Macaca mulatta: one gene and its partners. Each later gene encodes a partner of the first gene's protein in a complex. Links are inferred from orthologs where the notes say so. Each region holds a gene or a part of one and is shown in the gene's direction. Other genes may lie near its edges. The genes, in order: CNOT10, CNOT6 and CNOT6L.

What was found.
Region 2: CNOT10 (region 1) and CNOT6 share a complex: the UniProt entries of both Homo sapiens proteins name them as parts of the CCR4-NOT complex. The link is inferred for Macaca mulatta from reciprocal best matches to the Homo sapiens genes CNOT10 and CNOT6.
Region 3: CNOT10 (region 1) and CNOT6L share a complex: the UniProt entries of both Homo sapiens proteins name them as parts of the CCR4-NOT complex. The link is inferred for Macaca mulatta from reciprocal best matches to the Homo sapiens genes CNOT10 and CNOT6L.

Annotation. Positions count from the first base shown.
Region 1 is NC_133407.1:15,845,427-15,852,702, reverse strand, and holds the start of CNOT10 (CCR4-NOT transcription complex subunit 10), read left to right. Parts: upstream 1-2,799; 5' UTR 2,800-2,962; coding exon of another isoform or gene 2,963-2,984; intron 2,985-7,276. UniProt on the Homo sapiens protein: Component of the CCR4-NOT complex which is one of the major cellular mRNA deadenylases and is linked to various cellular processes including bulk mRNA degradation, miRNA-mediated repression, translational repression during translational initiation and general transcription regulation.
Region 2 is NC_133411.1:189,586,480-189,593,266, forward strand, and holds part of CNOT6 (CCR4-NOT transcription complex subunit 6), read left to right. Parts: intron 1-957; coding exon 958-1,188; intron 1,189-3,335; coding exon 3,336-3,538; intron 3,539-6,702; coding exon 6,703-6,787. UniProt on the Homo sapiens protein: Poly(A) nuclease with 3'-5' RNase activity.
Region 3 is NC_133410.1:56,078,027-56,084,813, forward strand, and holds part of CNOT6L (CCR4-NOT transcription complex subunit 6-like), read left to right. Parts: intron 1-3,270; coding exon 3,271-3,483; 3' UTR 3,484-6,787. UniProt on the Homo sapiens protein: Has 3'-5' poly(A) exoribonuclease activity for synthetic poly(A) RNA substrate.

The DNA of each region.
Region 1 (7,276 bases):
CCCAAAGTGCTGGGATTACAGGCGTGAGCCACCAAGCCCGGCCTGTTTTTTTTGTTTGTTTGTTTGTTTGTTTTTTACCAGTGACAGCTGTAGCTTGCTTTGTTCCTCCTTCTGTTTAGATAAAACCAAGACTGAATTGCCTGTTTCCTAACAGCATCCAATTCAAATTTGGCCTCCTACTTTCCCAATCCCGTTAGCATAAGCCCAAATTCTATAGGAAGTTCCTCCTAATTCCTTCTCATTAAGAGGCTCCCTACTACACTTCAGGTGTGCATTTTTATTATTTTTAATTATTTATTTATTATTATGTATATATTTATTTTTGAGATGGAGTTTTGCTTTTGCTGGCCAGGCTGCAGTGCAATGGCACGACCTCAGCTCACTGCAACCTCCACCTGCCGGGTTCAAGCAATTCTTCTGCCTCAGCCTCCCAAGTAGCTGGAATTACAGGCACCCGTCACACTGTCCAGTTAATTTTTGTATTTTTTTGAGTAGAGGTGGGGTTTCACCATGTTGACCAGGTTAGTCTCAAACTCCTAACCTCAGGTAATCTGCCTGCCTCGGCCTCCCATAGTGCTGGGATTACAGGAGTGAGCCACCGCACCCGGCCAGGTATGCCTTTTTATGGTGGGCACATATTCATCAAAAGTCATACTAGAGTATTCATATTGGCCATATTTGAAATAGATATAATATCCAAATGCCCAACAACAAAATGAATACATAAATTAAGGAACAGTCACATAATGTAACATAATAATATATGTAACAATGAGAAACAAATACAACCTCACTCAACAATGTGAATGAATCTCATACTATCAAGCAAAAGAAGCTAGATCCTAAAACATATATTGTATAATGTGTATTCATTAAGTGTAAAAGCAGGTGAAACTAATCCATAGTGTTAAATGTCAGCATAATGATTATCTTTGTGGAGAGATGGGAAGAGGCATGAGGGGAACTCCCAGGTACAGGTAAAGCTCTGTCCTTTCTCTGGGTGCTAGTTACATGTATTCGTTAAGTTGATGAAAAGTCAATAAGCTGTACTTATGATTCATGCACTTTTCTTTGTGTATGTTAGCCTGAATTTAAAAGTTTAAGAAAAAACAAATACCTTTTTTTTTTTTTTTTGAGACAGAGTCTCACTCTATTGCCCAGGCTGGAGTGCAGTGGGGCGATCTTGGCCCACTGCAATCGCCGCCTCCTGGGTTCAAGCGATTCTCCTGCTTCAGCCTTCCAAGTAGCTGGGATTACAGATGCACACCACCACGCCCGGCTAATTTTTGTATTTTTAGTAGAGACCGGGTTTCACCATGTTGGGCAGGCTGGTCACGAACTCCTGACCTCAAGTGATCCACTGGTCTTGGTCTCCCAGAGTGCTGGGATTGCAGGCATGAGCCGCCGCGCCTGGCCAAAAACAAATACTTTTTTAGAAGAAAGTTTAAAACAAAAGTTTTTTTAAAAAAAGAAAAAAACAGGTATAAACCTGAAAAATCTCCCAATTAACAAAGCTGGGACAGTTTTAGCAACAAAATAATGTAGTATTGGAATGTAACCAGTATAAGATAAACATCCATGAGTCCATACTGATACAAATAGCTAAATGAGGGAGAAGAGGCAAATTTCCCTGGGGGAAGATAATTTATGTACATACTCCCCACTGCAGGAGGTTGAGCTTAAATACCCCACCTTCCCACCTTGAATGTGGGTTGCATTTATTGACTTGGTTCCAAAGTAGTGTGGAAGGGTAGGAGGAGTAACTTCATAGCGGAGAAAACTGGCAAGCACTACCTTAGAAAGGTAATCAAGGTTAACATGATCAGTGATGTCATTTTGAGAGCAGGTACCTTTGATTCTATGTGATGAGAATAGCCAGTAACCTTGTGGTCTTCCTCCTAAACACCCAAAACCCCAGTCTAACCATGTGAAAAACATTGGCCAAACCCAAATTGAGGCACATTCCACCAAATATCCGAGAAGTAACTCTTCAAAACTGTCAAGGTCATCAAAAACAAGGAGAATCTGAGAAACTGCCACAGCCAAAAAGAGCATAAGAAGACATCATGAATAAATGCAATGTGGTGTCCTGGACAGGATCCTGGAACAATAACAAAGAAAGGACATTGAAAGAAAGCTGGTAAATGTGAATAAAATGTGTAGTTTAGTGAGTAATAATGCACCAATCAAACTGGTTTATTGGATGTGATCAACGTACCATAGTAAAATAATTAAGATGTTCATACTAGGAGAAACTAGGTGAGGAGACAGGAACTCTAGGTGTCATCTTTGCAACTTTTCTGCACAACTACAACTATTCTAAAATAAAAAGCGTTTGTTTTTAAACGGGGATCCTCAACAGCGCCTCTCTCACGGGGTTGCAAGAAATCATGAGATAGTACAAACCAAGTGCAGGGCTCAGTGCTTAGCACATAAATGTCAGATATGATTACTGTAATCTTATGTGACATTGAGGGACAAAAGCTCTGACACTTTGGTATTTTAATCAGAATAACCAAAGGACAGAGATGCTTACGTCCCATCGCATCCGCCCTGCGAACATGCAGAGGTTCCAGCCAGAGTACGTCCGGCCGGGGGCGGGGCGCGGAGGGGACGTCGGCGTGGGGCGGGGCCAGCAGCAGTTCCCACGCCGGCGCTCCAGGCGCGGCAGGCTGCCGCCCCCGGAAGTAGTGGGTACCGGGACGCCGTGGGGCGGAAGCTGTGGATGGCGGGAGGCTGTGGCGCTCTCTGGGTGGGGAAGCTGTTGCTGTTGCTAGACGACGCGAACTAGCGCTCGTCACTTCCTCAGCCAGCCGTCTGCCCACTCCCCAAGCCGGAACCTGAGGGCCCAGAGCCGGGGTAGGCACAGAGTTGTCCTCATAGGTCCAGGACAGCGGCCAGCCCGGCGGCGGGAGTCAGGGCCACGCCACCTGCAGGGAAGAACCCAAGCCGAAGCGGGAAGATGGCTGCAGACAAGCCTGCAGGTAGGACGCCAATGTCCCGAGCGACGAGACGGCGGGACGTGCGGGGCCGGGCGGACCCTGAACTCGGAGGCGCGGGGCCCCGGATGGGGACTCCAGGGCGACTTGAATTTGGGCGTGCATTTCTTTACCCCATCCTCTATCTCGGCTGTCGCTAACATGAGTCTTCGGGCCCCGGGTCCAGTAGTTGTTTTACTCAAGTGCAGTGTGAAGTCGCTGCTGGCCGCCTTTGCCCTGCTCTCCAGAATAACTCCGGCCCAAAAAGCTTAAGTGTATTTTGCCGCTTCGCAGAATTTTCCGCTTCTTCGTGGGAAAAGCAGACAAGAGAAAGTCACCCTGGAGCACACATTTGCCTATATCCCGTGGTTCAGGCTGGGATTCACCTGGGCTGTTCTGGCCACACGTGGCTTCGTCTGGTCATTGACTTCTATGGAATTAACTTTGTAAAAACCACTTTTTTTTTTTTCCTTAATAGAGACGGGTGGGGGTCTCGCTCTGTTGCCCAAGCTGATCTCGAACTTCTGGGCCCAAGCGATCCTTCCGCCTCGGCTTCCCAAAGTAAACCACTTATTTAAATAGGCATATTGCCTCTCTACAGTCTATGCTTGTAAAATCTTGGGTTTGGTACCTAATTGCCGTAGTTCCTCGAAATTACTTAATCTCGATGGTTTTCTTTATGGATTATTGCTCCCATTCCTAGAATCTTCCCCATTAAGGAATATAAAATTATTTCCTGACCGTGTCCGGAATGTTTCCCGCAATAAATTAATATTCTTTGTGGCATCCAGGTTTTATTGGAAAGAACTTAAGTGACAGAATTTAAAAGTGATGGAACTTAAAATTTTTACAGTGAATTTAGTATAAAATCTCAGTATCCTGTGGATTTTAGTAGGTTCTGATCGCAGTAACTGACAAGTGAACTTCACTTGGAAATTTAAGCCAATTATATTTTAGGTACAGAGGAATAAAAATCGTTAGAGGATCTCTTCAATAATCTTCTAAGAAGAAAAACAACAGAACAAAGACCTAGAGAGGGTATAAGGAATGTGCTGTGAAATTTTGGATAGGTTGATCAGGGAAGGCCTCTGGTGAGATATTTGAGCAGATACCTCAAAGAAGTGAGGGAATGAGCGGATACGGAATGGGGAAAGGTGGATGAGGGAGAGACTATTAGACAGGAAAGAGGCATGGCCTGTCCAAGTCTGGACAAGGGGACCAACATCCTCCTGATTTTAGAATGGTGTCTGTGTTCCCCACATTTACCATTCCTACTTGCTCATACCATTGCGCTTGCCCGAAATCACCTTGTTAGACCTAAAGCCTATCCAGTTTTCAAATCCTCAGTCATAAAGTCTTCTACTCGTTCATTTATTCATTCGCAACGATTGAGTGTTGAATAATAGATGTGACACACTCCCTGCCTTTGAAGACCTGCTGTTCAGTCTGTTGGAGGAGACGGACATATCCTAGCTGCACTCCTGTTTAGTAAGAGCTGTGTAATGTGTGTAGTTGAAGAATAAGGTCCACAGGGATTAGGAGACTGTTTTATTCGTTGGTTTAAGTTCAGAGGCCATGTTGAAGGAAACTTCCTGCTTAGATATAAGGTTAAATTTGTATAAAATAGATGAATGTTTAGTGTGGCTCCTTTGAATTTCTGCTCATGTCCATCTCAACTGCTGTGTTTCTGGCCTTTGTCTTTTAGTATGATCTATGTCGCACTAAGTAGTCTCACTGGTGTTTGTCTCTTGTCTCTTCCTATCCCATCCATTTTCCTCACTGTCACCCTGCCCCCCCCTTTTTTTTTTTTATCCCCTAAGGCATTCATTGAATCCTATCATTCCCCTTCCTATGAAGTTTTTAAGACTGTACATGCTTTGGGCATCAAGTCATTCTTTTTATTTAATTTTTATTATATTTTCTTTCTCCTTTTAAGTCCTTTTTTTTTTTTTTTTGAGAGTCTCCCTCTGTTGCTCAGGCTGGAGTGCAGTGGCAGGATCTTGGCTCCCTGCGAGCTCTGCCTCCTGGGTTCCCAGGTTCACATGGTCTCCTGCCTCAGCCACCCCAGTAGTGGGACTACAGGCACCCACCACCACGCCTGGCTAATTTTTTTGTATTTTTTAGTGGAGATGGGATTTCACGTGGTAGCCAGGATGGTCTCGATTTCCTGACCTTGTGATCCTCCCGCCTCGCCCTCCCAAAGTACTGGGATTACAGGCGTGAGCCACCACGTCGGACCGTCCTCACTCTTTAATGTGGTTTGTGAGCATCTTCAAAATCTATTTCCAGCTGGTTTTTCTATATCAACCTACCCAGCTCTTCACATCATAAATTACTGTTGCAAAGCATTGTGCTTTTTGAGCTTCTCAGCCGTAATGTCCTTTCTCTTCTCAGTCTGTTGAACACCATTCATTCAAAGTCTGTCTTACACGCTGCTTCCTCTCTCAGCTCATGAGGTCAGTATCTTTGTCATGGAGGGTCTTGTGTGTGTGTTCTTCATCAGGTAAGAAAAAAGGGTCATGAAAGGACCTAAGATGAGTGATCTGATCACGCTGAGAGTTGTAGATGGTGGATTTAAATGAAGCAAGATGGGAAGCCCAGAGACCACCTAAGACGAGCTAATGTTGTGATATTAATTTATTCAGTAAATATTCACCAATGGCCTGTTTTGCCAGGTACTACTTTAGGAACTGGGCAGGAACAAAACAAAGTCTCTGTTCTGGAGCTTATGTAGTATGAAGGACAGATAAGCATGTAAACAAAATGAAAAATAAGATGATTTCAAGTTGTGATAGATACTCTGAGGAAGGCTGAGTGTGGTGGTTCACGCCTGTAATCCCAGCACTTTGGGAAGCTGAGGAGGGTGGATCACCTGAGGTCAGGAGTTCCAAACCAGCCTGACCAACATGGTGAAACCCCATCTCTACTAAAAATACAAAAATTAGCTGGGCATGCTGGCCCACATCTGTAATCTCAGCTAGTCAGGAGGCTGAGGCAGGAGAATTGCTTGAACCCGGGAGGCATAGGTTGCAGTGAGCCGAGATCGCGCCACTGCACTCCAGGCTGGGTGACAGAGTGAGTCTCTATCTCAAAAAAAAAAAAAAAAAAAAAAATACTCAGAAGAAAAAAATGAGGAAGAGAGGCTGTCTGCAGTTGCTTACGCCTGTAATCCTAGCACTTTGGGAGGCTGAAGTGGGAGGGTTGCCTGAGGCCAGGAGTTTGAGACAATCCTGGGCAGCATAAGTGAAACCCTGACTCTAAAAAATAAAAAGCCAAACATTGTGGTATGTGCCCATAGTCTCAGCTCCTAGGGAGGCTGAGGTGGGAGGATTGCTTGTACCTAGGAGTTAAAGGCTGCAGTGAGCTATGATCAGGCCACTGTGGGCAACAGAGTGAGACCCTCTCTCAAAAAATAAAATAAAAGGCCGGGCATGGTGGCTCACGCCTGTAATCCCAGCACTTTAGGAGGCCGAGGTAGGCGGATCACAAGGTCAGGAGATCGAGACCATCCTGGCTAACACAGTGAAACCCCTTCTCTACTAAAAATACAAAAAAATTAGCTGGGCGTGGTGGCAGGCACCTGTAGTGCCAGCTACTCAGGAGGCTAAGGCAGGAGCCTGTGAACCCGGGACGCGAAGCTTGCAGTGAGCCAAGATTGCACCACTGCAGTCCAGCCTGGGCGACAGTCAGACTCCATCTCAAAAATAAATAAATAAATACAATAAAAATCAGTAAGAGAGTTGGGCGCAGTGGCTCCGCCTGTAATCCTAGGACTTTGGGAGGCTGAGGTGGGCAGATCACCTGAGGTCAGGAGTTCAAGCAGGCTGGCCAACATGGTGAAACCCTGTCTTAACTTAAAATACAAAAGTAGCTGTATTCCCAGCTACTCGGGAGGCTGAGGCAGGAGAATCACTTGAACCCAGGAGGCAGAGGTTGCAGTGAGCCAAGATCGTGCCATTGCACTCCAGCCTGGGCAACAAGAGCAAAACACCATCTAAAAAAAACGAGAGAGAGAGAGAATAGAGGATGACTGAAAGCAGAAGCCCTATTTTTCAGATAGGTTAGTTAGAGAAGGGCTTTCTTAGAGTTGACGTTTAAACAGAGACGCTAAGGATAAAGAGCCATCTGTGTTGGGAAGAATGATCCAGGTAAGAGGAACAATGCATGTACAAATGTACAGAACCCTCGCTTGGAAAATGTTTAAAGAACATCAGGCTGACCTCTTGAATACAAGCTCCCCGAGGATACAGACTTTTGTCTGTGTTAGTTGTGTTCTAGCTCTAGTCCCTAGAACAATA
Region 2 (6,787 bases), on another chromosome or scaffold:
GAAGTTGTCTTTCCTGAAATGTATCTCTTTTTCTCTACCACAAAACAACATGAGAAAGCATTGCCCGTTAAAGTATTAGAAGCCTTGAAAAGCATTAAGAAACATTTTTTTTGTGTGCTTAAGAATTTTTCATATAAAAAAGAAATGTTGAAGTAAATATAAATTAAAATAACTGCTCAGGGGTAAGAACTCCATACACGTTTATAATTTTTTGGCAGCAAGGATGTCCTGTAAGCTGACTTCTTTTCCTGATCTGTTTAAAATAATCATTTTATTAGCTGGCTGTGGTGGTAGGCGCCTGTAATCCCAGCTACTTGGGAGGCTGAGGGAGAGAATTGCTTGAACCTGGGAGGCAGAGGTTGCAGTGAGCTGAGATTGCCCCACTGCACTCCAGCCTGGGTGACAGAGTGAGACTGCTTCTCAAAAAAATAAATAAAGAAAAATATAAAATAAAATAATTATTTTAAAGGTCTTGAGTTTGGGATAAATGGACCACTTCAAATTGAAAGTATATTTCAAGTGACCATTATGCTGGGAGCTGAAACTTGTGTCCCTTGAGGAACAGTTGGAACTGGAGATATTTAATGTGAAGTATAGAAAAAATGGAAATAGGACTTACATCTAAGAAAACGGGTTTAGATGTAATTTTGTGAGGCTTGATTTAGGACATCCAAACTAAGACCAAAAGTTTCAAGGAGACAGAATTTTAAAAATCAAGCTGTCCCAAATAGGGCTGTTTTTGCACAAGTAGTGAATGCTCTGTGCTGGAAGCATCAGCCCAGGTTTAGGCGTGTATTTCTCAGATTTGTTGTAGGGCACGTTCAGTCATCCGATGGAAATTTTAGGTGTCTTTTCTATTCTGGGACTCTGAGAGATTATTTGCCCAGACGCTGTAAGAATATATGGGCTGATGGGTGGGTTTTGTCTCTTTCTTTGTTTCGTTTTTATCTAATGTAGCTGGAAAGCCACATCTTGGAACAGAAAAACAGCTCATTCTCGTGGCCAATGCGCACATGCATTGGGACCCTGAGTACTCTGATGTGAAGTTGGTGCAGACTATGATGTTCCTCTCAGAAGTGAAGAACATTATTGATAAAGCCTCTCGCAACCTCAAATCCAGTGTTTTGGGAGAATTTGGAACTATTCCACTTGTGTTATGTGCAGATCTTAATTCTTTGCCAGACTCTGGTAAGAAAATAATGTGATTTTATGTAGAATATTTTTTGACATAAAATGATTTAGTAATGTTTTGTTTCTGATCATTCCAAATTAAGTCCAAATAAAAATTCAGTTTGTAATGGCAGCTATGAGCAGGTTTTAAACGTCACGTTGGGGTGGAGGGGCCATTTTGAAGATGAAACGATATTGTGGAAGCTTGAGGAGAAGGATGTTAATCATTTTGAATAAACACATAACCAATAACGTGAAATAACTCTTTAAAGAACGTATGTAGTTCCGTTTTATTACCCCCAAGTCAGAGATAATTATGGTATTGAGACAACCCCTTTGGGATTCCAGCATCTGGTAATATAATCATAGTTTAAATTTGAGTTAAAATTAGGGAATCTCAATTTTGCACGTATTTGTAACTTGATTAGAAAAATACACCTCAAGTAGAAATTGAGCTCCTTTATTTACACACACATCAGTCAAGCGATTTTAACAAAGAGCAAGGATCTTGATTATTAAAATGTAGAATACAGAAAGCCTGATCTGGAATGCTCTTTCCATAGATAGTATGCAATAAACAATAGCCCTTGTAATAACAAACTGTTTCTTCCTTTTCGTGTTTCCACTCATTTGTACACACAGGAATACTTCTCCTTGGACTTGAGTGTATGCGTGAACACACACACATGCGCATTGGGAAACACATTATTGACATCACAATAGATAGAGCCATTAGGAAGAAAGAAAACCCCAGCACGTTGGGGAGCCGAGGTGGGCGGATCACTTGAGGCCAGCAGTTCGAGACCAGGCTGGCCAACATGGTGAAACCCCGTCTCTGCTGGAAATACAAAAATTAGGCAGGCGTGGTGGTGCAGGCCTGTAATCCCAGCTACCCGAAGGTTGAGGCACAAGAATGACTGGAACCCCGGAGGCAGAAGTTGCAGTGAGCCAAGATTGTCCCACTGCACTCCAGCCTGGGTGACAGTGAGACTATCTCCAAAAAAAAAGAAGAAAAGAAAGAAAGAAACTGAGTTAAAATTCGATTTCAGGCCGGGCGCGGTGGCTCACGCCTGTAATCTCAGCACTTTGGGAGGCCGAGACGGGCGGATCACGAGGTCAGAAGATCGAGACCATCCTGGCTAACACAGTGAAACCCCGTCTCTACTAAAAATTCAAAAAATTAGCCAGGCGTGGTGGCGGGCGCCTGTAGTCCCAGCTGCTCGGGAGGCTGAGGCAGGAGAATGGCATGAACCTGGGAGGCGGAGCTTGCAGTGAGCCAAGATCACGCCACTGCACTCCAGCCTGGGAGACAGAGCGAGACTCCGTTTCAAAAAAAAAAAAAAATCGATTTCAGGGAAAATCAAAGCTATCTAAAATCTGTAATTATTTCATTTCATCAGGTTGTCTGGAGATTACTGCTGCTGAAGCAGTTGAGTAGTAGTCTCTGACAATTTCTCTACATGCTTTCTACTTTCTGTGTAGCTACAAAGTATCTGAGGGGTAAAGAGAAAATCTAGTCACACATTAATACCCAAGACCCATTTCAGCATTGAGAAATACGATATTGTAATAGCAGGCAGGTCAGAAAATGTCCAGCCTTGCTAATTTGTGAATAAAATGCAAATGAAAGTTTATTTTCAGAGCCCATCTATGCTTAGTAAATTGGGAAAATACTTGACTAGGGATGTGGACGCTTGCTCTGTAACTAGCTGGTGGTATTCTGTTCCATAGCTGGCAGTATCGTAAAATGGCACATTCAGTCCTAATCTTGGGATTTTATACCAAGTAAATAATTGAGCATAAGCAGGAAGTCTGCATACTAAGATGTTGATTGTGGTGTTATCTTTAATTCTTTGTAAAAAGTGGAAACTACCTGCATTTTACAAAATAAGTAACCATAAATATTATCCACCAGCCCAGTTGCATTGTGCATTAAAGAATGATAATTGGGAAGACACATGTTCATAAAGCAAAGTATAAACTATTCAGTATTCTGTGATTACAGCTGTGTAAAAATAGATTTGGACAAGTCCTGGCAAATGTAAAAGGAAACATTTTGGAACATGGGAGTATGTAGTTTAAAACTTTTTACTATTGCATGATCTTTTAAAATTACTTTTTGTTTATATTATATTTGACAGTAAAAAAAATTGTCTTCATTGTAGGTGTTGTAGAATATTTGAGCACGGGTGGAGTAGAAACAAATCACAAAGACTTTAAGGAGTTGAGGTATAATGAAAGTCTTACCAACTTCAGCTGTCACGGGAAGAATGGAACCACCAATGGAAGGATCACTCATGGTTTCAAGTTAAAGAGTGCCTATGAGAGTGGCCTGATGCCTTACACAAATTACACGTTTGATTTCAAGGTGTGTCTTGAGACTGATAAGTTTTTCAAACCTCTATTTTACTGGCAAGTCTGCTGATGCATCATTATGTCTTTAAAAATGTGGATGTGTGTTCAGACTGGAATGAAGCAATCTTGAATTGATTGACAGCAATATTCTTTGTTTTTGGTTTGAGACAAGGTCTCACTCTGTTACCCAGGCTGGAGTGCAGTGGTACAATGATGGCTCACTGCAGCTTCAACCATGTGGGCTCCAATGATCCTCTCACCTCGGCCTCACCAGTAGCTGGGACTACAGGCGCCTACTACCATGCCTGGCTAATTCTTGTGTTTTTTGTAGAGATGGGGGTCTCACTATGCCCAGGCTGGTCTTGAACTCCTGGCCTGAAATGATTCTTGCACGTCAGCCTCCCAGCGTGCCGGGATTACAGGCGTGAACCACTGTGCTCAGCCAGTAATATTCTTTTATTACCTTCTTTAGAAGTCCACGTGATTGCTGTTATATCCTTACTTTGTAGATATTTATTCTAATATTTTTCAGGATAAGAAGTCAGATGAAATAATCTGTAAAATTCCTGAGTTGACTTTTTCACCTTTTGGGGACAATTATGTTTTTGGTTTTTTTGAGACGGAGTCTTGCTCTGTCGCCCAGGCTGGAGTGCAGTGGCCGGATCTCGGCTTACTGCAAGCTCCGCCTCCCGGGTTCACGCCATTCTCCTGCCTCAGCCTCCCGAGTAGCTGGAACTACGGGCGCCTGCCACCTCGCCCGGCTACTTTTTTGTATTTTTTAGTAGAGACGGGATTTCACCGTGTTAGCCAGGATGGTCTCGATCTCCTGACCTCGTGATCCGCCCGTCTCGACCGCCCAAAGTGCTGGGATTACAGGCGTGAGCCACCGCGCCCGGCCGCAATTATGTTTCTTATATTCTCCTTACTAATAGCTAGATATACAGCACCATAGTAACTAATTTGGGTGACATTTGGGGTAAGACGTTCCGTCTCTTAACATTTTAATTGAAACTAAACTCTTGCATGCCAAAATGTGGTTTATGTTAGCCATTTATAAGTGTTTCTAAGATACATCTTTTTTTACCCCCCAGAGAATCTTACCCTGTTGCCCAGGCTGGAGTGCAGTGGCACGATCTCAGCTCAGTGCAACCTCCACCCAGGTTCAAGTGATTATTATACCTCAGCCTCCCAAGTAGCTGAGATTACAGGCGCCTGCCACCACACCTGGCTAATTTTTGTATTTTTAGTAGAGACGGAGTTTCACCATGTTGGCCAGGCTGGTCTCGAACTCCTGGCCTCATGCGATCCACCCATCTTAGTCTCCCAAAGTGCTGGGATTACAGGCGTGAGCCATCGCCCCTGGTCAGACTATCATCACTTTTTTTTTTTTTTTTTTTTTTTTTTTTTTTGAGACGGAGTCTCGCTCTGTCGCCCAGGCTGGGGTGCAGTGGCCGGGTCTCAGCTCACTGCAAGCTCCGCCTCCCGGGTTCACGCCATTCTCCTGCCTCAGCCTCCCGAGTAGCTGGGACTACAGGCGCCGCCACCTCGCCCGGCTAGTTTTTTGTATTTTTAGTAGAGACGGGGTTTCACCGTGTTAGCCAGGATGGTCTCGATCTCCTGACCTTGTGATCCGCCCGTCTCGGCCTCCCAAAGTGCTGGGATTACAGGCTTGAGCCACTGCGCCCGGCCTATCATCACTTTTAACATTAGCGATTGTTTAGGGCTGTCACTTTCTTGTGTTCAGCTGTCCTTCTTCTAAAAAGAGATGTCTCACTCTGTTGCCTAGGCTGAAGTACAGTAATGTGATTATAACACACTGCAGCCTCGAACTCCTGGGCTCAGGCAACCCTCTTGCCTCAGCTTCCCCACTAACTAGGACTACAGGTGTGCGCCACCATACCCAAATCATTTTTTGGGGTAATTTTTTGTAAAGACGGGGTCTTGCTATATTGCCCAGCCTGATCTTGAACCCCTGGCCTCAAGCAGTCCTCCTGCCTTAGCCTCCCAAAGTGCTGGGATTATAGACGGGAGCTACCGCATCTGACTCAGCTGCCTTTTAAACTACTTGTTGCATTTCTGCTTTCTCAACTCCCAGCTTTCTGTTTCTAAGCTGCTGGAAAAGTAGTCATTTAGATTAGATTGTCAGAGTGTAAATAAGAGTTTAGACAGTATCTCAGGAGCTCTTGCACCTTAGAGCACAGAAAGTAAACCCCTGTTGATCCTCAAGTGCCCCTTCCTTTCAGATTCTTCAGGAGACATTGAAGAGAAGGCATGGGTATAACCAGAGGGTGGGAAAGCTTAGGGTTTTCTTTCTCTTTCTGTTGCTGATACAGAGGCAGGAAGAAGATACTTGACTGTCCTTCAGGACATTTGGCCAAGAGCATGTCGAGGAGAGGAGCAGAACCATCAGATGGGAACAGTTTATTAGATGCCATGGCGGGGTGCTGCTGAGAGAAAAGGGGGTCAGGTAGAGACAGTCCTGCTCTCGTGGAACTGAGGTGTGATGAGAGACAAGTCTCAACCACACAGATGAATAGATAATTACACCTTGAGATGGCCATTAGCAAGGGAAGTGAATCAGTGGTGGGAGGTAGGGTGGCTAAGTAGGTAGGAGCAGGATTCAGGAAGGTCTTTGGAAAGCAGTTGAACTTGACATTGAAAGATTAAGAAGGAATTGACCTCATAACAAGTAGAAGAAAGTGTTCCAGGCAGAATGGTGGCGGGGGAGAGAGAGAGAGAGTGTGTGTGTGTCTGTCCTGGGGCAGGAAAGAGCTGGGTGGAGCACATGTCCGGGGTGTGTGTGTGTCCTGGGGCAGGAAAGAACTTGGTACCTATAGGTTCCCCTCCCATCCTCACCCCTTTCTAACTCCAAAGGCTAGTGCGGCAGCAGGGAAAGTGGCACAAATTAGTCTAGGAAAGAGAAGCAGAGGCTGCATCCTGAAGGGTCTTTTAGGTCTTATTAAAGTTCCAGATAAGAAGAATGCTTCATTCTGCTCGATTTGACATTTTGCAAGGGGACCATTTGGTATATGTAGTACACACCTCATCCTATAAGCTAGTAAGTTTCACTTGTTTTGTTCTGTTCACCAAACATGACAGTAAAGACGTGTCTTGAAAGCACTCAGGATTTTAGGGTTGTCTTATGTGGTGCTTATCTTTTTTTCTGTTGTTTTTCAGGGTATAATCGACTACATTTTCTATTCTAAACCTCAGCTGAACACCTTAGGCATCCTGGGCCCTCTGGACCACCACTGGCTGGTTG
Region 3 (6,787 bases), on another chromosome or scaffold:
TGAGAAACACAATTTGGGACATTAATCTACCTTCCTTAGTCATCTGAATTGGTTTAAATTATTTATTGACAGTCCTTCAAAAGATCTTGTGTTAATAATTGAATAAAAAATCCTATTGAGCCATTTACGTTGTTCAAATAAGTACAGCTAAAGAACTAGAAATGTCTGGCTCAGAGAGTGTTTGATGTTTGGATGTATAAGAGAATCAGAGAGAAGGATAAAGGTGGGAGAGAGTAATATATGGGAAGATAAATAGGCTGGCTGGATAGATAGATGGGATGAGAGGATAGAATAGTATTTGAAGGAAAGATGGCTAGAGACTAAACTAAGGGCACACATGAGTAGAGAGAATTGAGCTCTTAGTCCAACAGAAAATGAACTTTTCAGTTTTATACATATATTTTGTAATGCTATCCCAATATTGAAATCTATCAGTAAAAGAAGATAGGTAACATCAAATGTAAAATTCCTTGTGATCAGCATCGAATACAGATCCATTTGTATTAGTGAGGAGCCATTGTATCAGAGAGGTGTTAAATTTTGTTTCTTGGCTTAGTATTTGTTTACTTTCTTGGTCCTTGAACAAAATAGAAATGTAGAAAAGAGGTATTTAGAGCTCAGATTCATTTAATTGCAAACTGATTTGGAATGAACTGAAGAGTAAACAATTAGAAGAATTACTCCTTTTTCAACATTACTTTCAGACCAGGTAAGTTTAATAAACAGCTTAATTCAAACCTGCTGCTGATCCTCACCCCACGCTTATCCTCTAATCTGAGGGTGTGCCTGAATCATTTAATAAAAGGAAGGGCAGCTTTTATTTTATAGCAAATAGTAAACTTTTCTGTTACATTATGAAATTGGTATTGTAATTTTCTGGCATTCTTTTAAAAAACAAAGCTTAGCATAATGGTAACTCAGACTATTAATATTTTCGTTGTGTTTTGACTTTTTTCCAAATACAGTTCTATAGACTTATACAATAATAGTCCTTACTAATATAAAGAGTGCATTTTCCCACATTATTAGTATTATATCTTTTAAAAAAGAAACTGACTCAAAAGGGTTAAAAATCATTAGTCTGTAACCTCCTTTGTGCCTATGATCAAAGTTAGGGATCCTTCTCATAGGTGTATATGTACAAATACGTTGGGTGAATTCAGACATAACCTGGCTAAGGGTTTTGGTAAGAGTTTTTACTCCGGATATTTCAAACCAAGAGAATGATTACAAGTGATGCGTTCAATTAAAAACATCTTACTTCCTGGAGTGTTTAACATTTTTTTCTTGGGGCCTACCTTTGCAAAGAATTCTAGCAGTTGATGTGCATGATGGCGCTCTAATAAGGTTGTAAGATATAGGAGGCTTTGTTGCCCAGGCTGGAGTGCAGTGGTGTATTCTCAGTTAACTGCAACCTCTGCCTCCCAGGTTCAAGCAATTCTTTTGCCTTGACCTCCCTAGGAGCTGGGACTACAGGTGCATGCCCCCAGACCCAGCTATTTTTTTTGTATTTTTAGTAGAGATGGGGTTTCACCATGTTGGCCAGGCTGGTAATGAACTCCTGGCCTCAAGTGAGCTGCCCACCTCGGCCTCTGAAAGTGCTGGGATTACAGGAATCAGGCATGAGCCACTGTGCCCGGCCTTATAGGAGGTTTTATTCCACATAAGTAATTGAGATTATTTCATGTGTTTTATTTTAGAATTGAAGCAAAAAGTTGTCTCATAAGGAGAAATAAAATTACCCTGATCCTTGTTAACTCATTTTCTGAAATATCACTGTAAAACTGTAAAACTAGGCATATAACCAAAATGAAGGGATAATACCTTATGATCCTATCATTTTTTGACCATTTAAACTTGGAGTCCCCTGGACTCATGTAAGTTCCTTAATTTGTGGTAAAGTAGGGTTGGATAAGGGCTTCTTTTCTTTTATTATTATTATTTTTTAAGAGACAGAGTCTTGTTGTCAGCCAGGTTGGAAAGCAGTGGGACAATTATAAGTAGCCTCAAACTCCTGGACTCAAGTGAGCCTCCTGCCTCAGCCTCCCAAGTAGCTGGGACTATAGGTGCATGCCGCCACACCTGGCTAATGTTTGAATTTTTCGTAAAAACCCAGGTCTCATTATGTTTAACCAGGCTGGTCTTGAAGTCCTGGGCTTAAGCCATCCTCTTGCCCCCGCCTCCCAAAGGGTTGGATTATAGGCATGAGACACTGCACCTGAATCTTCTCTCTTAGGAGAGGAGCAGTTTTGGTGTTTTGATATTGGTCAAATGAAAATCAACAAACTGAAATGATTGTGTCCAAAATCTCACAATATAAAAATTTGTTTTCATTAAAAGTTTTTGTGTTTTAAGTAGCCCGTTTCATTATAATACTTTTTAAAGTATTGGCTGGAACTCGTGTATAGTATTTGTAAATAGGTTTTTACAGGTGTAGAAATATTTCTCCCTCCTTGGGCTCAGGCTGTCCTGATATGAATAGGAACTAGATAGGAAGAAATTTGATTTTGCTCTCTTGCATACACAACCTGGGATAATAAAAGCCCCCTGGTTTTGAGACTTACTGATCAGACTAATCAAGTCATTTAGCTCTGAGAGATAAAACTGCTATGTATGGCTTCCTGCTGAATGATTTTTGCTGAGTTATCCTTATGCAGGAAGGAAATCCAGAATTTACACATATTCTAGTATTTGTGAAAATGAGTATTTTAAATTAAGAATAGGACAGTTAACTAACTGTGTAGTGTTTTGTATGTATGTAGCAAATCTGGGAAAGCTAAACTAGGATTAGCAAATTCATAAACATGGTTTACTACAGCTTCAGCCAGGTGTGTTTGGATATCTCGATATGCAAATAATTGAAAATAATACCATTAACTATGTATGCGCTTATATATTCTTATTTTCTACTTATTATAGCCAATAGGATTAGTACAGGTTCCATTATATTTATACTGATATGTTAGATTTCACTAAACCAAGCAGGCCAATTCTAAAGATAACTGGACATAATTTAATGTGTTTAGCTTCTCAAATTATCACTTACACACAAATGCAAGGATTTATAATTCCAGTAGCATGCTGTGTTTCCCTATTGAGCCACCTTTATTTCATGTAATACCCATTGAAGATTTGAGTCTTACTTGACCCACTATCAAGACAACAGGTACCAAAAGAAAAGATACTCAGTTTTTTGTTTTTTATAAGTTATGGATTGTTCTTTATATATCCTGAATTTTTCTTTTCTTCCTATCCCCAATCTCTTTCCAGGGCGTGATTGACTACATTTTCTATTCCAAGACTCATATGAACGTGCTTGGTGTCCTGGGGCCTTTAGATCCTCAATGGCTGGTTGAGAACAACATCACTGGGTGTCCACACCCTCACATCCCTTCAGACCACTTCTCACTGTTAACACAACTTGAACTCCACCCTCCACTCCTGCCTCTTGTCAATGGTGTTCACTTGCCTAATCGGAGGTAGTGGAGTACTGCCCCGCCAAGACGGGGATCTGTTGCTATGGACCTGTACAGTTGTAAATCAAAGTATGTAGGAGTGAAGTATGGCCATCCTTAAGCTGCTTCTTCAGGTTTCTTTCATTATGTGTTTGCTGTAAGACTTTGTACATTTTTGTGCATATTGGTATCATTTGGCAGTAGGGCTGGAACCAAAGTATTACTCTCTTTCCAAAATTTTAATTTAACATGTTTTTAAATTGGACCTCCTCCTTTATATTGTATTAAGAGCCAGCATTCAAAATTGATAAATTACCAATTTGAGGCCCAACAACAGTGTATTTGTTTTTCCAAAACAAATACTTTCTTTTGAGTGGTTTCAGTGAGCCAACCATTTTATAAAAGGCAATTTTTAAAAACTATAAATACAGTATTTTAAACTGAATGATGATATGCCTTCCAGGAAAAACCTTGAATTTTTCCTTTATAACTGATTTTTGGATTCCCAAGTCATTTGCACATTAACAGAGTACTTAAATTTGCTCATTCTGTACATAAACTATGAGATAGCCTCTACACGTTTTAAGAGAATTTGAAAAATTAAAGATGGTTGTACAATATGCTTTCATAATCAAGCATGTAACACCACAGGACAATTTGTTGGCCAAATGCTAGTTTGGGGTTTTTTTGAGGAATCAATTTGGTTTTTTTGTCCTCTCTATATAACCTTGTTGGAAGTATTAATTCTAAGCCTGTCTCTCAAGTTTATTTATAGAGAAAGAGTAAGTAATCTGTATTGCCACATACCTTGAAAATAGAATGCGGTACATTTAGGATGCCCACAGAATGAATTTTTCCTTACTCCAATTCAACCTTCTTTCTGTTCGGTTGTGCCAGGAAAACAGATGTTATATGACCTATATCATTTTTGCCATTATAGTCAAATGTTAAAGAAAATCTGAATAAAAGGACCTTGATCAAAGTTTCAGATAGGGAAAATCATACAGATACTTTATGTGTTTCCAACATAGATTATGGGGCTGTTGGTTTTTTTGAGATGACAGTGCAAAGGATTTGGGAGAGAGGGAACACATTTGGGGCAGTAGTTGAAAACCTTGGGCCATTGTCCTGACTCTAGCTGCCAAATGGCCATCATATGCTTTTAATCTTTGTTTCCTTTGTCTGTCAGGGTTGAATTAAGAAGCTACTGGTTTATTCCCAATTGTTGATGCCTTTAGGTATGTTGGAATCTTTTTTTTGCCTAAGAGGGGCCAGTTGAAAATCTGTGACTCAAGAGGCAGTGAACAGAATACTGTTTTCTGGGGAATAATTGGTTCGCTACTTGATGTTAATTATGGCACAGTAACAGGAAAAGGTTGTGTCTGTGTTTTTAAGTTTTTCTTTATTCTGCTTTTTTGCTGCTATAAGAGTTTTCTGAAATTTATATTTTAAACTTTTCATGCACTTTACTGTTTCTAGTCTCAAAATGTGATATTTTTATTAAACAAGAAATTTTCCATTATGCGAATGAAATTTTAAAAGACAATAGCCTATATTTGTGTCTCACTAATATATAAAGTACAGGTCAAATTTAAATTATTTAATTAGTTTTAAATGTACACAATTTGTCTCCTCTTTCAAACCTGACATCTTAGACTGTTTTATTGGTCTTAAATGATACATTTACTTTGGTCATTTTATGCTAATTTCTTCCATAGTAAATTAATCAGGCTATATAAGATAATATTTCCCCAGAAGGGTAATTTTAGTGGGACGAGGGTGGTGGGATGATGTCATATCATACATGGGATTGCATCAGAAGGGTTCTGTAAAGCCTAAACTCCCTTTTAAAAGTGCCTAGTGATAGAGGCGTTGTTTGTCATCTGTTATAATTGGAATGTCATTGTAGTTCAGTGAATTTTGATGTAAATATTCTTTTAAAAATGTTAAAGTACCAGAATAAACAAAAAGAAACAACCCTTAAGATGACAGATTTTCCTCAACATGCAGGTTTCCCTTCTTATATACCTCAAGTATGCAACATCTAGCCATGCAAATTGATTACCTGAAGCATAGTACTGGAAAGTAGAATAGCATGAAAAACTTAATTTTGTGGACATTACCTTTTTTTGTAATCAGCTACTGTATGTTTTATTTTAGATCTTTTGTTTTGGGTGGGTTTTCTGCTCTGGAGGTATATGCACTAACAAAACATTTTCCTCCTTTCATATACGCATGTTAATTAGCAATGTGAGCAATATTTCCTACCATACTTCACTCCCAATATTTTTTGAGATGTTTGTATAAAATGGAATTTAAAGTTCACTTATGATTGTATATGAACCACAGAGGAGCCCATTTATTAATAAAAAACTTTTTTAATAGTTAAATGTAGAGGGAAAAAATAAAAAAAAATGGGAAACGTTGTAAACAGCTTAAGTTTATTTTGTGTATGATCGAGGCACTCTGTTGCAGGAAGGTGTGTAATTGGGTTCTCTCTGCTTCAAATGCGCTCTTTCAAACCATTCATTATCCTGTGTATTTTTAATGTGGTTTTAGTAAATGTTGGTAGTAGCTCTGTTGAAGTAGGTAATTGTGTTATGTTTTGGGTGGTACACACTTGGGGCATGGTAACCCAAATTTCATGTGCACGGTTTCCCTTTAGCCCACTGCCCAAATTTCACATACCCTTCACCCTCTGTTCCCTTTGTAAAAGGAGTGGTATCTGTTTTGAGCTGCCAATTCAGATGATCAGAAATGCTGCTTTCCTCAGCATTGTCTTGTTAAAACGCATGCCATTTGGAACTTTGGCAGTGAGAAGCCAAAAGGAAGAGGTGAATGACATATATATATTCAATGAAAGTAAAATATATATTCTCATATACTTTCTAGTTATCAGAATGAGTTAAGCTTTATGCCTTTGGGCTGCTGCATATTTTAATCAGAAGATAAAAAAATCTGGGCATTTTCAGAATGTGATACATGTTTTTCCTAAAACTTAAATATTTCGATATTTGTCTAAGAACTGGAATGTTCTTTAAATTTACTAAAACAGTATTGTTTGAGGAAGAGAAAACTGTACTGTTTGCCATTATTACAGTCATACAAGTGCATGTCAAGTCACCCACTCTCTCAGGCATCAGTATCCGCCTCATAGCTTTACACATTTTGATGGGGAATATTGCAGCATCCTCAGGCCTGACATCTGGGAAAGGCTCAGATCCACCTACTGCTCCTTGCTTGTTGATTTTGTTTTAAAATATTGTGCCTGGTGTCAACTTTTAAGCAACAGCACTGCCTAAAAGCAAGCAGAGAACAGAATCCCAGCACCA